2 linked regions of the Sus scrofa genome follow. The protein of the gene in region 1 purifies or fractionates together with the protein of each later gene. This does not show direct contact. Links are inferred from orthologs where the notes say so. Each region holds a gene or a part of one and is shown on either strand. Other genes may lie near its edges.

Region 1 (6,193 bases):
AACCCCTGGCCCTGCTCAGTGGGTTAAGGATCCCGAGTTGCCATGAGCTGTGGTATAGTTTGCAGATGCAGCTGGGATCCTCTCTTGCTGGGGCTGTGGGTGTGGTGTAGGCCAGGACCTGCAGCTCCAGTTTGACCCCTAGCCTGGAAACTTCCGTATGCTGCAGGTGTGGCCCTGAAAAGACCAAAAAAAAAAAAAAAAAAAATTAGATATATGCCTTAAGATAACTTTTTTTCCCTTTTTCCTTTTCACTATCCCTGGGCCCTTAAAGTCTATATATATCCACTATCCAATTCATTTCTTATAACTGCTGCATGGGATTCATTGGTTAACATCCATTACCTTTTATCTATCAAAGGAGTTCTCAAGCTGCCTCCAACTCCAGGCCAACACAAATAATATAATAAACATATCTTACTCAAGAATTTCTTGAGATACATATACCAACTAAAAGAAAAAAATACACTGTGAGGGTTGTGAGGTATGTTTTATTCAGGGTCTTACTGGGGATTGCAGCCTGGGAGACAGCCTCTCAGCTCTGAGAAACTGCTCCAAAGATGTAGGGAAGGAGCCAGTATATTTATGATTTTTTGGGGGCTAGGTAAATACCTGCAGTCGGACATCAAAAAATTATTGCTAATAGAGTTCCCACTCTGGTTCAGTGAGTTAAGAACCTGATATGGTGTCTGTGAGAATGTGGGTTTATTCCCTGGCCTGACTAGATGGGTTAAGGATCCACTGTTGCCCTGTCTGTGGCATAGGCCTGCAGCTGCAGCTCGGATTCACTCCCTAGCCTGGGAACTTCCATTTGCCACAGGTGGGGCTGTGAAAAAAAAAAAATCACTGATTATCTCAAAGAATAGACTGCTCAAGTTAAGGATTTTAATACTTTTCTCTATATGGGAAGATGCAAGAATCTGGGGTCACTGAGATTCTTCCTTAGATAGACATCTTAACTACCTAGAGGCCTGCATATCCAAAGTACAGAATAGAGTACTTGCTGTTTTTCCATCCTGAATTCCCCCTCGGGACACTTTGTCAGTGGGCCATGGGTGACTGCAGTGGCTAATGACTTTGTAGAACTGGAATGGTGGGCAATATTTTTTGTTTAAAAAATACATACATATGTATGTATGTGTGTATATACAGATACATCAAGAAACAGACTTGTTTGATTTTATCCACCCTATTTGACTAAATAGTACCTTACTTCTTTTCAGAATGGTTGTACTGCTGAGCCACAGCAGGAACTTCCCAACTTATTTTTTGTTTGTTTGTTTTTTGGCTGTGCCCCTGGCATGTGGAAGTTCCGAGGCCAGGGATTAACCCACACCACAGCAGCAGTGCTGGATCCTTAACCTGCTGAACCACCAGGGAACTCATGGAGAATGTTTTGATGCTTCATCTGCAAATGTTAAGGGAGATCTTAGAAGGTACTAGTTGCCAAGGACAACCTACAAAGGTAAATGCCATTGCTGGCATCCAATCCCCTGGCAACTCAAGGTCCCAGATGCAAGGCCTAAATTAATAAACAACTCAGTAATAAAATTCTCTGTAATCTTTGGGAGCCAAAGATCGACCTCAGAAAATATTCTTTATACTTAATTTGTTGATGTTTTTGGTGTGTACATTATCTACTACAAAACATTTGCAATCCATTTATGTTAGTTGGGTTTCCCTTATCATGAAAACTTCCTGATTTAAGCATCCTGAGAGAGATAAGGAAACAAAGGATTAAGGTATTTCCCTGATGATTTTATTCCTAGTTGAAGAGAGCAAACATGGAGAAAATAAGTTAATGAGTAAATACGTTCCTCTGTTTAACTTAAATGTTTTAATCTGTGTTACTCTGGTTGTAGAAGAAACAGAGTTTTAAAGGGATTAATCACAGTGAGCTAGAAGAGTTAGGGGAAAAAAAGGGAAGAGGTGAAAAATAAGGATGTTAGGTACGATGGGGCCTGATACTTTACTGGTCTGGCTTCTCTGGAACAACCCCAGCTTGAAATATTTTGTATTGTTGCCTCCGTGAGAAGCACTGGAGTTCAAAAATTTAGCAGTGACTACTATAATAGTTAAGGATATAAATTACTCCGAAGACTATGAATACAAAAGGTTATCCAATTTGAGCAAAAAGAACTTTACAGTTTCTATTTATTAAACTAGTTATTACTGAGCACTTGATGTGCCAAGTACTTCATTTAGCGGCCTGAGCTGGCCAGGCAGGGTTCCCGCCTTCACCGAGCTTACTTCTATTTAGGGGATGTTAACCTTCGAGGAGCCGAATCACTACAATACCTACTGAACAACTATTGTGTGCTGGGTACTGCCCTAAGCCGCCTTCGCAAGCCATCTCATTTATTTTATTCTATTTTTTAAGCCATCTCATTTAATCACCAACAACCCTATAAAGCTACCACCTAGGATTTCCAGTTGTGTCTTTGTGGGGCACCTCATCTACCACAGGTCCCTATGACAGAAGGTGCAAAACATTCTCCAAAAACATGCGGCAGGCCCCTCCTGAGGAGGCCTCGCGCCAAAGGAGGAAGCTCCGCCCCGGCGCCGCTCTAGGGCGCGGCGGATCTCCCAGGCGACTGGACGCTGCCCGTCGCGTGGTTGCGGCAGCTCCGCCCCTCTTCCGGGCGCCCTTGGCCCCACGCTCCCCTTCTGCGCATGCGTAGCACACTGACTCCGCCTCCACAGCGTAGCGGTCGGAGCCATTTCGCCGCCGCCTCGGTGCGAGTGGTGGTGCGCTCGTCTGGTCTCCGTCGCTAAGGCCCGAGCCAGGGACGTTCCTGAGAGAGCTGTGCTCTCGGGCACAAAGAATCGGACTCCGGTAAGGGGAAGACGTCTTTGTTACCGGTTGGGACGGCGTAGGCCCCGGGGTTCTGCAGCGGGTCTTTGTTGCCTGGAGCTGGCGGCGGTGGCGGGTGGGGGAGGGGAGAGCCGCCTCGCTGGGTTCCCGGATTGCGGGTTGCGTGCTGCTTGCGACGCCGCTCCGCGCTTGCGCTGCCTGAGGCCGCCATTTGGCCCCCAGTTATTCGCGGAGGCAGGCCTAGTTTCGTCTCCGGAGCGGCCAAACCCCACTTCCTCTTCCAGCCTGCGCTTGGCGGTGGCGCTGTCGCCGTAGAGTGAAAGGGACTGAATCGGCCCGGGGTGGGGGGAGCTAAGCCCGCCAAACCGCCGCCCACGCTTAGGGCCCTTCGTTCGTCCACGCAGGCCTGCGTGCCGAAAATAGCGGGTGGTACCCTGCGGCCTCTGCGGATAGAGCAGAAAACAGGCTAGGCACAGTCCTTGCTCTTTTCTCTCAGAGGTTGGGGTCGTGGTGGGGGTGGGGAGCCGTGTGGAAACAAGTGCTGGTTTCGGTAAAAAAGCTCTTGGAGGATTTAGTGTAAAGGAAGGGCGCCATTTCCGGAAGGGTGGCGCGAGGGAAGGCTTTTCGGAGGAGGCAGACATTTGAGCCGACGTCTCGCCCAAAGGGTGGAGATTATCGACTACTAAGATGTGGAAGAAAAGCAGAACTCCCCAGGCGGAGGGGGATTAGTTAGTGTTTACTGGCAGGGATTAGAAAGAAACTGAAAGAAGGCCACGTGACTGGAATGTGGTGAGAAGAATTTAAAAGAAGATTGGATTTTAGCGTGGTTACAAAGGAAATGGGAATTATTTAGGACCTTGTTGCTGAACTCCAGCTGTTGCAGTAGTGGGAGAGGGGAGGGAAGCGAACAGATTGGAATCATGTTTGGAGGCGAAAGTGAGCCTTAGGTCAAGAGTAGATCAGGACTACCTGGGTTGGAATTTTGGGTCCCCCAATTAGAAGCTCTGTCTGTTGAGGCAAATTATTCTTTCTCTCAGTTTACTTACCTGTAATAATGCTTAGCTATACAGTGTCGTGTATGGGTTAAGTGAAGTAGTTGCTGCAATGCTCCTTAACGGATACTGATTGGTACATAATAAAGACTGCAACGGATGGTTATGGAGGATGTTGAGGGACTGGATAAGTCCCAAATGGGTGATAGGAGTAATTTGGTGGATGGTTGTGCCGCCTAAGGAGGTGGGAACACTGGGATTAGAGGGAAGAGGAACAGGTTTAGGGAGGAAATTTAAAATTGTGTTTTAACTGTGATGCCATGTTAGCATTCAGGTGGATACATAAGTGCTGCAGATGGATGAACTTGATTTTGGAGCTTTTAAAGAGAAAAGACTAAACTTTCAATGTATATTTGGATAGCATTAGTCTATAGTTAATATTTAATATGATGGCGTTAGATAAGACTAGGGAGGAAGGAATTTGATAGTATAGTCCTTATTTCATGTTTTCCATTCACCCTGAGGGCTTGTTTTTAAAATTAATTATTCATGGTTGGAATTTGTAGGTAGACATCTTCAGTTTTCCACAACTTTTCATGAATCGGTTATCCCCAGGGTTAACCTGTGACTACAGAAGAGCCTTTTTGTACTAGGGTTCAGTTTGATGAAACTAGATGTAGGTGCTAACAAAATGCACTAAACATTAACGGAAGACAGAGGCTTAATGGGGTTTCTTCCCACATCACAGCAAACAATTCTTAGCATATTTTCTCCAGTTCTGAATTTGGTCTCAGATCCCTCTGCGTGTAATTTAGACTCAGGATCCGTATCTTTTGCTATAAACTGATGTAGAGGGAGAATGCCAATCACTATGATAGGTTGCACTTAAGGAAAATGTAATAGCCTCAAATTTAATGAGTAACAAGGCCTAAAGGAAAGATTTAGCACAGAATATATTTGGACTTAATAACATTGCCTATTGCTGTGCAGATGGTCTTCTAGGAGACATAATCCAAATGAGGATAAACTCTTGGATTTATATACAAAATGATGGAAGGCTGTTTCTCCATTTATTTATTTATTTAGGCTGCCATGAGGTATCTGGAGTTCCCAGGCCAGGGATCATATCCGTGCCCTAGTTTTGACCTAGGGCACAGCTGCGGCAGTGCCTACAGTGCCGGATTCTTAATCCACCCACGGTGCTGGGCCAGGGATTGAACCTGTGATCCCAGTGACCACAGCAGGAACTTTTTTTTTTTTTTAATTAAGTTTTAAAGGAGTATAGTTGATTTACAATTTGATAATTTCTGCTGTACGACAGAATGATTCAGTGATGCATGAAAAAAAATGCACCCATTCTTTTTCAGATGACTATTTCTTAATATATTGGTTTGGTTTTGAATTTAGGCCTTCTACAGTGAGTAACTTGAAAAAGTTACTGAAACTTTCTATGTCTAGTGTCTTGCTCGTAAAAAAACTGTAAAGTAGAAGCTATAGTTTATAGTGTTACCTACTGTTGTGAGGATTAAATTAGTTAAAACACATAAAGCGAATATTGTAAAAAGTAGGACATTACATAAAATGTCTTTAAAGAAAAGACGAAAATCGCTTGTAGATATCTAAAGATAACCATTTGGGAGGATATTTCTTTTCCAGTCTTGATTTATACATACTTTTGTGTCACTCAAATCATACTTTAGTATTCTGCTTTTTCTCAAAACAAAGTCTCAGACTTTCCAATTATTTGCCTATGTCATTAAAATTTCATCACAGGCAATATTAATATTAATAGCAGCATGATAGAATATTCTGTACTTAACCTAGATTTTCAGTAAATTCTTGTTATTGATTATTTCCAGATTAGTAATTTTCAGTGTTTGCTCTTATAAATAATGCTGTTTTTAACTAACTTGTTTTCCTAGGTCTGAAGAAGACTCTTGAATCATGGGTGATGTTAAAAATTTTCTGTATGCCTGGTGTGGCAAAAGGAAGATGACTCCATCCTATGAAATTAGAGCAGTGGGGAATAAAAACAGGCAGAAATTCATGTGCGAGGTACTAAAAAATTACTGCTTACATTTATGTGACTTTTGAGGCTTGTTTTGGTTTTAAAAGAATAGTATTTTCTCTTTGGAAATGTTAATGTGTTGTACTTCAGGGCAGGGAACGTTCTTTTTGTGATTTACCTGTTATTTTATAAGATAGCCCATGAATTCTCTTAGGGCTGTTATTTTCAGGGTGTGTAGAGTATATCTTCAAAAGTTAACTTATCCTTTGATGGACTAGTGAGTTACAGGGGTTTTTTTGGTTTGATTTTTGTTATTTGGGGTTTGGGGAATATTTGTTTTTTGGTTTTGGTCTCCTTTTTTTGGCAGCCCCATGGCATATG
Region 2 (4,197 bases), on another chromosome or scaffold:
GTGTGGCACGGAGGCCCACAGGTTTTGTTAAAGTCATTGTGAATAAAATAGCCCCTACGCGCCATCACAGGCATTGAATCCCCTTCCTCGCATCCCCAAATCTAAGACCTCCCTCTTTTGGAGCGCTGATTGGACGAACAGCCTGAGCGCTTTCCAGAGGCTGCTCGCCTACTGGCTCCCGATTTGGTCCATCCACCTAACCGCCCAACTCCCGCATCCCCCATTGGAGTCAAATCGTGGCCTCTTGGAGGAGCCCAACCTACCGCGCGCTTCGTGCTCATTGGCTCAGTGAGATGCTGCTCAGGAGGAGAAAGCCCGCCTCCCACATACCGATGGCCCAAGGACCGATGAGTCGGCAGCTAAGGACAGCCCCAATTGGCCTATACACTCGCCAGTCAAACTCTTCCGCTGCAAAGCTCCACAGAACCTACGGGGATAAAACATCCCGCCCCCGTTCTTCCATTGGTTGGCCGATCTCACCGCTCCCCCTTCACGAGCCCCCACCCCGAGGTCCATTCATTTCACACAATAACGGGCCCAGTTGGAGTCAGTTCAAGACCTCGTATGGGTAGGCAAGATGGTCCGCCACTTACCGGGGGTCGAGACCGATCACTCACGCTAACGCCTCGCCTGTTCCTCTGTGGTGCGGCCGGACCACAAGCCACCGCCGCCGCCGCCTTCTGCGCAACGCCAACCGCCCGCCAAAACGGATCCTTCCCTGCGCCTGCGCGACCAATCCTGGGACCCGACCCTTTCCCCGCCCATTACGCCTGCGCAAAAGGGGGCACAACTCCCGCCACTACGCAGGCGCCTTAGGTTCGCCGCTGTCTCCTGCCCGCCATTTCACGTGTTGCAAGCTCCGGGCGGAACTTCTTAGCGCGCCTGCGTAAACTCGCCATTTTACTACACATGCGCTCAGCAGGCGATCTTGCCCCCGCCCCCGTTCCGCCAAATTGTCACATGCTAGCTACTTTTTTGATACATAGTATTAAAAATGCTTTGACACAGGCGTTGAATATTCCGGACATAGCTAATTAAAAAGTTATCTCAATACCCGAAATAATTCAAATATGAATCATTGGTTGACCAGCCAATCAGTCTAGTTAAGAATAATATTACTTAGGAACCAATGGACCGGGAGGGGTTGAGACTGCGTAGAACGCCCAAACGGATGACGTTACACAGCAACGCATACGAGAGACCAATAGTGGGGGAAAGCTATGTCAAATATCCAATCAGAGCTACTCAGGGGCGGAGTCTACCAATGCCGAACGCGAGGAGGCGGGATAAAAAAGCGAGGCCGAAGGTAGGCTGGCAGACTCGTTCGTTAGATTACTCCTTTCTGCCCCCGGACGCCGCCGAGTAAGCATCGTTGTAACCTCCTCCCCACTACCGTCATGTCTAAGTCAGAGGTGAGTGAGACTCTTTTTTCATCTGCGTTTTCTTCTTCGCCGCTTGCTGAGTTTGGTAGGGTGCAGTCTGGTTTGGCTGCTTGCACCAGCCTTTTCGGCAGTTCTTCGGTCGCTGCCGGGGCCTACCCCTCCCTGAGTTCAGGTCGCCATTTTGTCCTCGTCGCCATGAGGCTGTCGTCGTGCAATCCTTGGTTATCACGCTGCTCTCGTTCTTTTTTGCAATGCTCGTGGACACATTCGGTCTGTTTTTCATCCTTGTCCTAGTGGACGACTTTCTTAAAGAGTAGCTGTAGTCCAATTTTGGCGATGCACGCCCTCCCAGTCCTTTTGTTGCGCGTGCGTCGTAGGGAGAGTAAGGGGCGCATGCGCTCGCCGCTTCCCAGCCCCCAACATACCGCCTCCCCAGATGGGGAGAAGCACGTGGCTTACAGCGACCCGAGGGAACAATAAAAGCTTCGTACGTTGCTACCTGGTGTTGCTTCTTGTAGCGGGGAGCTTGTTTGCGTTATAGCCCTATTTAACGCTTTTTTTGCCCCTACTTCTAGTCTCCCAAAGAGCCCGAACAGCTGCGGAAGCTCTTCATCGGAGGTTTGAGCTTTGAAACAACCGATGAGAGTCTGAGGAGCCATTTTGAGCAATGGGGAACGCTCACAGACTGTGTGGTAAGACTTGGAAGAGACAAAAGGCCTTAGAGCTAGTTGTTTTTCTTGGCTTATCTCGCTGTCGTTGCTGTTTGAATGCTTATGAAGATTCCTATTGACTTTATAGCTTACTTGACAAAGGAAGGTGTGGCTTCATAGCTGAAAAGCTCCCAATTGTTAGGTTTAAGGGGTGGGGGCGGTGGTCATTGAAGAGCTTCGTTTAGAGGGTTGGTAGAAAGTTTTCCATTGCCTTAGTCAAGGTAGAAAAGGCTGTAACTTCTGGTGTCTTACCATGTGCTAAATAAACATTAAAGGTAATGAGGGACCCAAACACCAAGCGCTCCAGAGGTTTCGGGTTTGTCACGTATGCCACTGTGGAGGAGGTGGATGCAGCCATGAATGCAAGGCCGCACAAGGTGGATGGAAGAGTTGTGGAACCAAAGAGGGCCGTCTCAAGAGAAGTAAGTGATGTTTTTCTTGTGTTTCATCGACTGGAAATGTTCGATTAGCAGGATTCACTCACATTAAGGGGATGTAACAGACTTAGTATTAACATGGTCTTAGGATTGTTACTATTTTCTCCCCCTTTAGGATTCTCAAAGACCTGGTGCCCACTTAACTGTGAAAAAGATTTTTGTTGGTGGCATTAAAGAAGACACTGAAGAACATCACCTAAGAGATTATTTTGAACAGTATGGGAAAATCGAAGTGATTGAAATCATGACGGACAGGGGCAGTGGCAAAAAGAGAGGTTTTGCTTTTGTAACTTTTGATGACCATGACTCCGTAGACAAGATTGTCAGTAAGTAGCAGGTGGTTGGCATTCGCTAAGAGTTCTGAAATCCATTTGTGTCCTAAACTCTGAGATGGTGTCTTACTTTCAAATTTTTCAGTTCAGAAATACCACACTGTGAATGGCCACAACTGTGAAGTGAGGAAAGCCCTATCCAAGCAAGAGATGGCTAGTGCTTCATCCAGCCAAAGAGGTGAGTTTGTTGCTTAATTAAACCTTAAGCATCATTTTGAATGATTTTAACCGGTACAATTTAACGTTAACATTTTTTTCTTCAGGTCGAAGTGGTTCTGGAAACTTTGGTGGTGGTCGTGGAGGTGGTTTTGGTGGAAATGACAACTTTGGTCGTGGGGGAAACTTTAGTGGTCGAGGTATGTATGGTTTTTTATTATTTTAACGCTTCTTAGAATTTAGGCTTAGAAGGGTGTGATTTGTATGCGATCCACATACTTCAAACCTGGCTTTTAAATTCTGTTCCAGGTGGCTTTGGTGGCAGTCGTGGTGGTGGTGGATATGGTGGCAGTGGGGATGGCTATAATGGATTTGGTAATGACGGTAAGTTTTTTTGTTTTTACTGTTAAAATTTTGTGTGTGCGTGTGTGGGTTTTTTTAGTTCGTTTTGTTGTTGGATTTTTTTGTTTTTTAAGAAACTACAGGTAAAAAGTTTGACTACTTTTAGAATAGGCTAGTAGATACTAAAACTTTAGTGCATGATAAGTTCAAGTTTGACTCTTACAGCATGTTGTGAGCCGGCCTTTAGCCATCATGCTTGCACAGAATTTGAATGTTGAATACTTGTGTCTTATTGAGAAGAATTGTATTCTTGTAGGTGGTTATGGAGGAGGCGGCCCTGGTTACTCTGGAGGAAGCAGAGGCTATGGAAGTGGTGGACAGGGTTATGGAAACCAGGGCAGTGGCTATGGCGGGAGTGGCAGCTATGACAGCTATAACAACGGAGGAGGCGGAGGCGGCTTTGGCGGTGGTAGTGGTAGGTATCCAGTGATCCAAGTACTTGGTGCAAATAGCTAGCTTAGCCATATGGGAACTTGATGCTCTCTAGGCATAATGTGTTTTACTGCATGGTACTTTCTTTTAATGGGCTTGCAATGCTACCTCCTCCTAGCTTTAAGCTGGGGCCGCCTCACTCCCAAATAGATTAAGGGGGATAGTGGTGCCTACAGTTAATCGGGATTAGGTTAGCTTTTATTTAGGCACTTAGTTGATGTATCCAGCATGTGTTTGCGGTGCCCCTGGATGGGTAACAACAGCCTTCGAGGCTAGAGACTATACTACTTGCTCTACCATGGTGAGTCAGGGGTAAATTTCTAGCTACTGGATTATTCAACTGAAT

The links.
Region 2: the proteins of DHX9 (region 1) and HNRNPA1 purify together in Homo sapiens (affinity purification with mass spectrometry; 7 studies listed by BioGRID and IntAct, with this or other methods). This does not show direct contact. The link is inferred for Sus scrofa from reciprocal best matches to the Homo sapiens genes DHX9 and HNRNPA1.

What each region holds. Positions count from the first base shown.
Region 1 is NC_010451.4:124,139,254-124,145,446, forward strand, and holds the start of DHX9 (ATP-dependent RNA helicase A), read left to right. Parts: upstream 1-2,675; 5' UTR 2,676-2,833; intron 2,834-5,720; exon of another isoform or gene 5,721-5,726; 5' UTR 5,727-5,748; coding exon 5,749-5,859; intron 5,860-6,193. UniProt on the Homo sapiens protein: Multifunctional ATP-dependent nucleic acid helicase that unwinds DNA and RNA in a 3' to 5' direction and that plays important roles in many processes, such as DNA replication, transcriptional activation, post-transcriptional RNA regulation, mRNA translation and RNA-mediated gene silencing.
Region 2 is NC_010447.5:19,483,780-19,487,976, forward strand, and holds the start of HNRNPA1 (heterogeneous nuclear ribonucleoprotein A1), read left to right. Parts: upstream 1-1,397; coding exon 1,398-1,412; intron 1,413-1,957; coding exon 1,958-2,074; intron 2,075-2,367; coding exon 2,368-2,514; intron 2,515-2,644; coding exon 2,645-2,855; intron 2,856-2,946; coding exon 2,947-3,039; intron 3,040-3,124; coding exon 3,125-3,217; intron 3,218-3,326; coding exon 3,327-3,401; intron 3,402-3,675; coding exon of another isoform or gene 3,676-3,834; intron 3,835-4,197. UniProt on the Homo sapiens protein: Involved in the packaging of pre-mRNA into hnRNP particles, transport of poly(A) mRNA from the nucleus to the cytoplasm and modulation of splice site selection.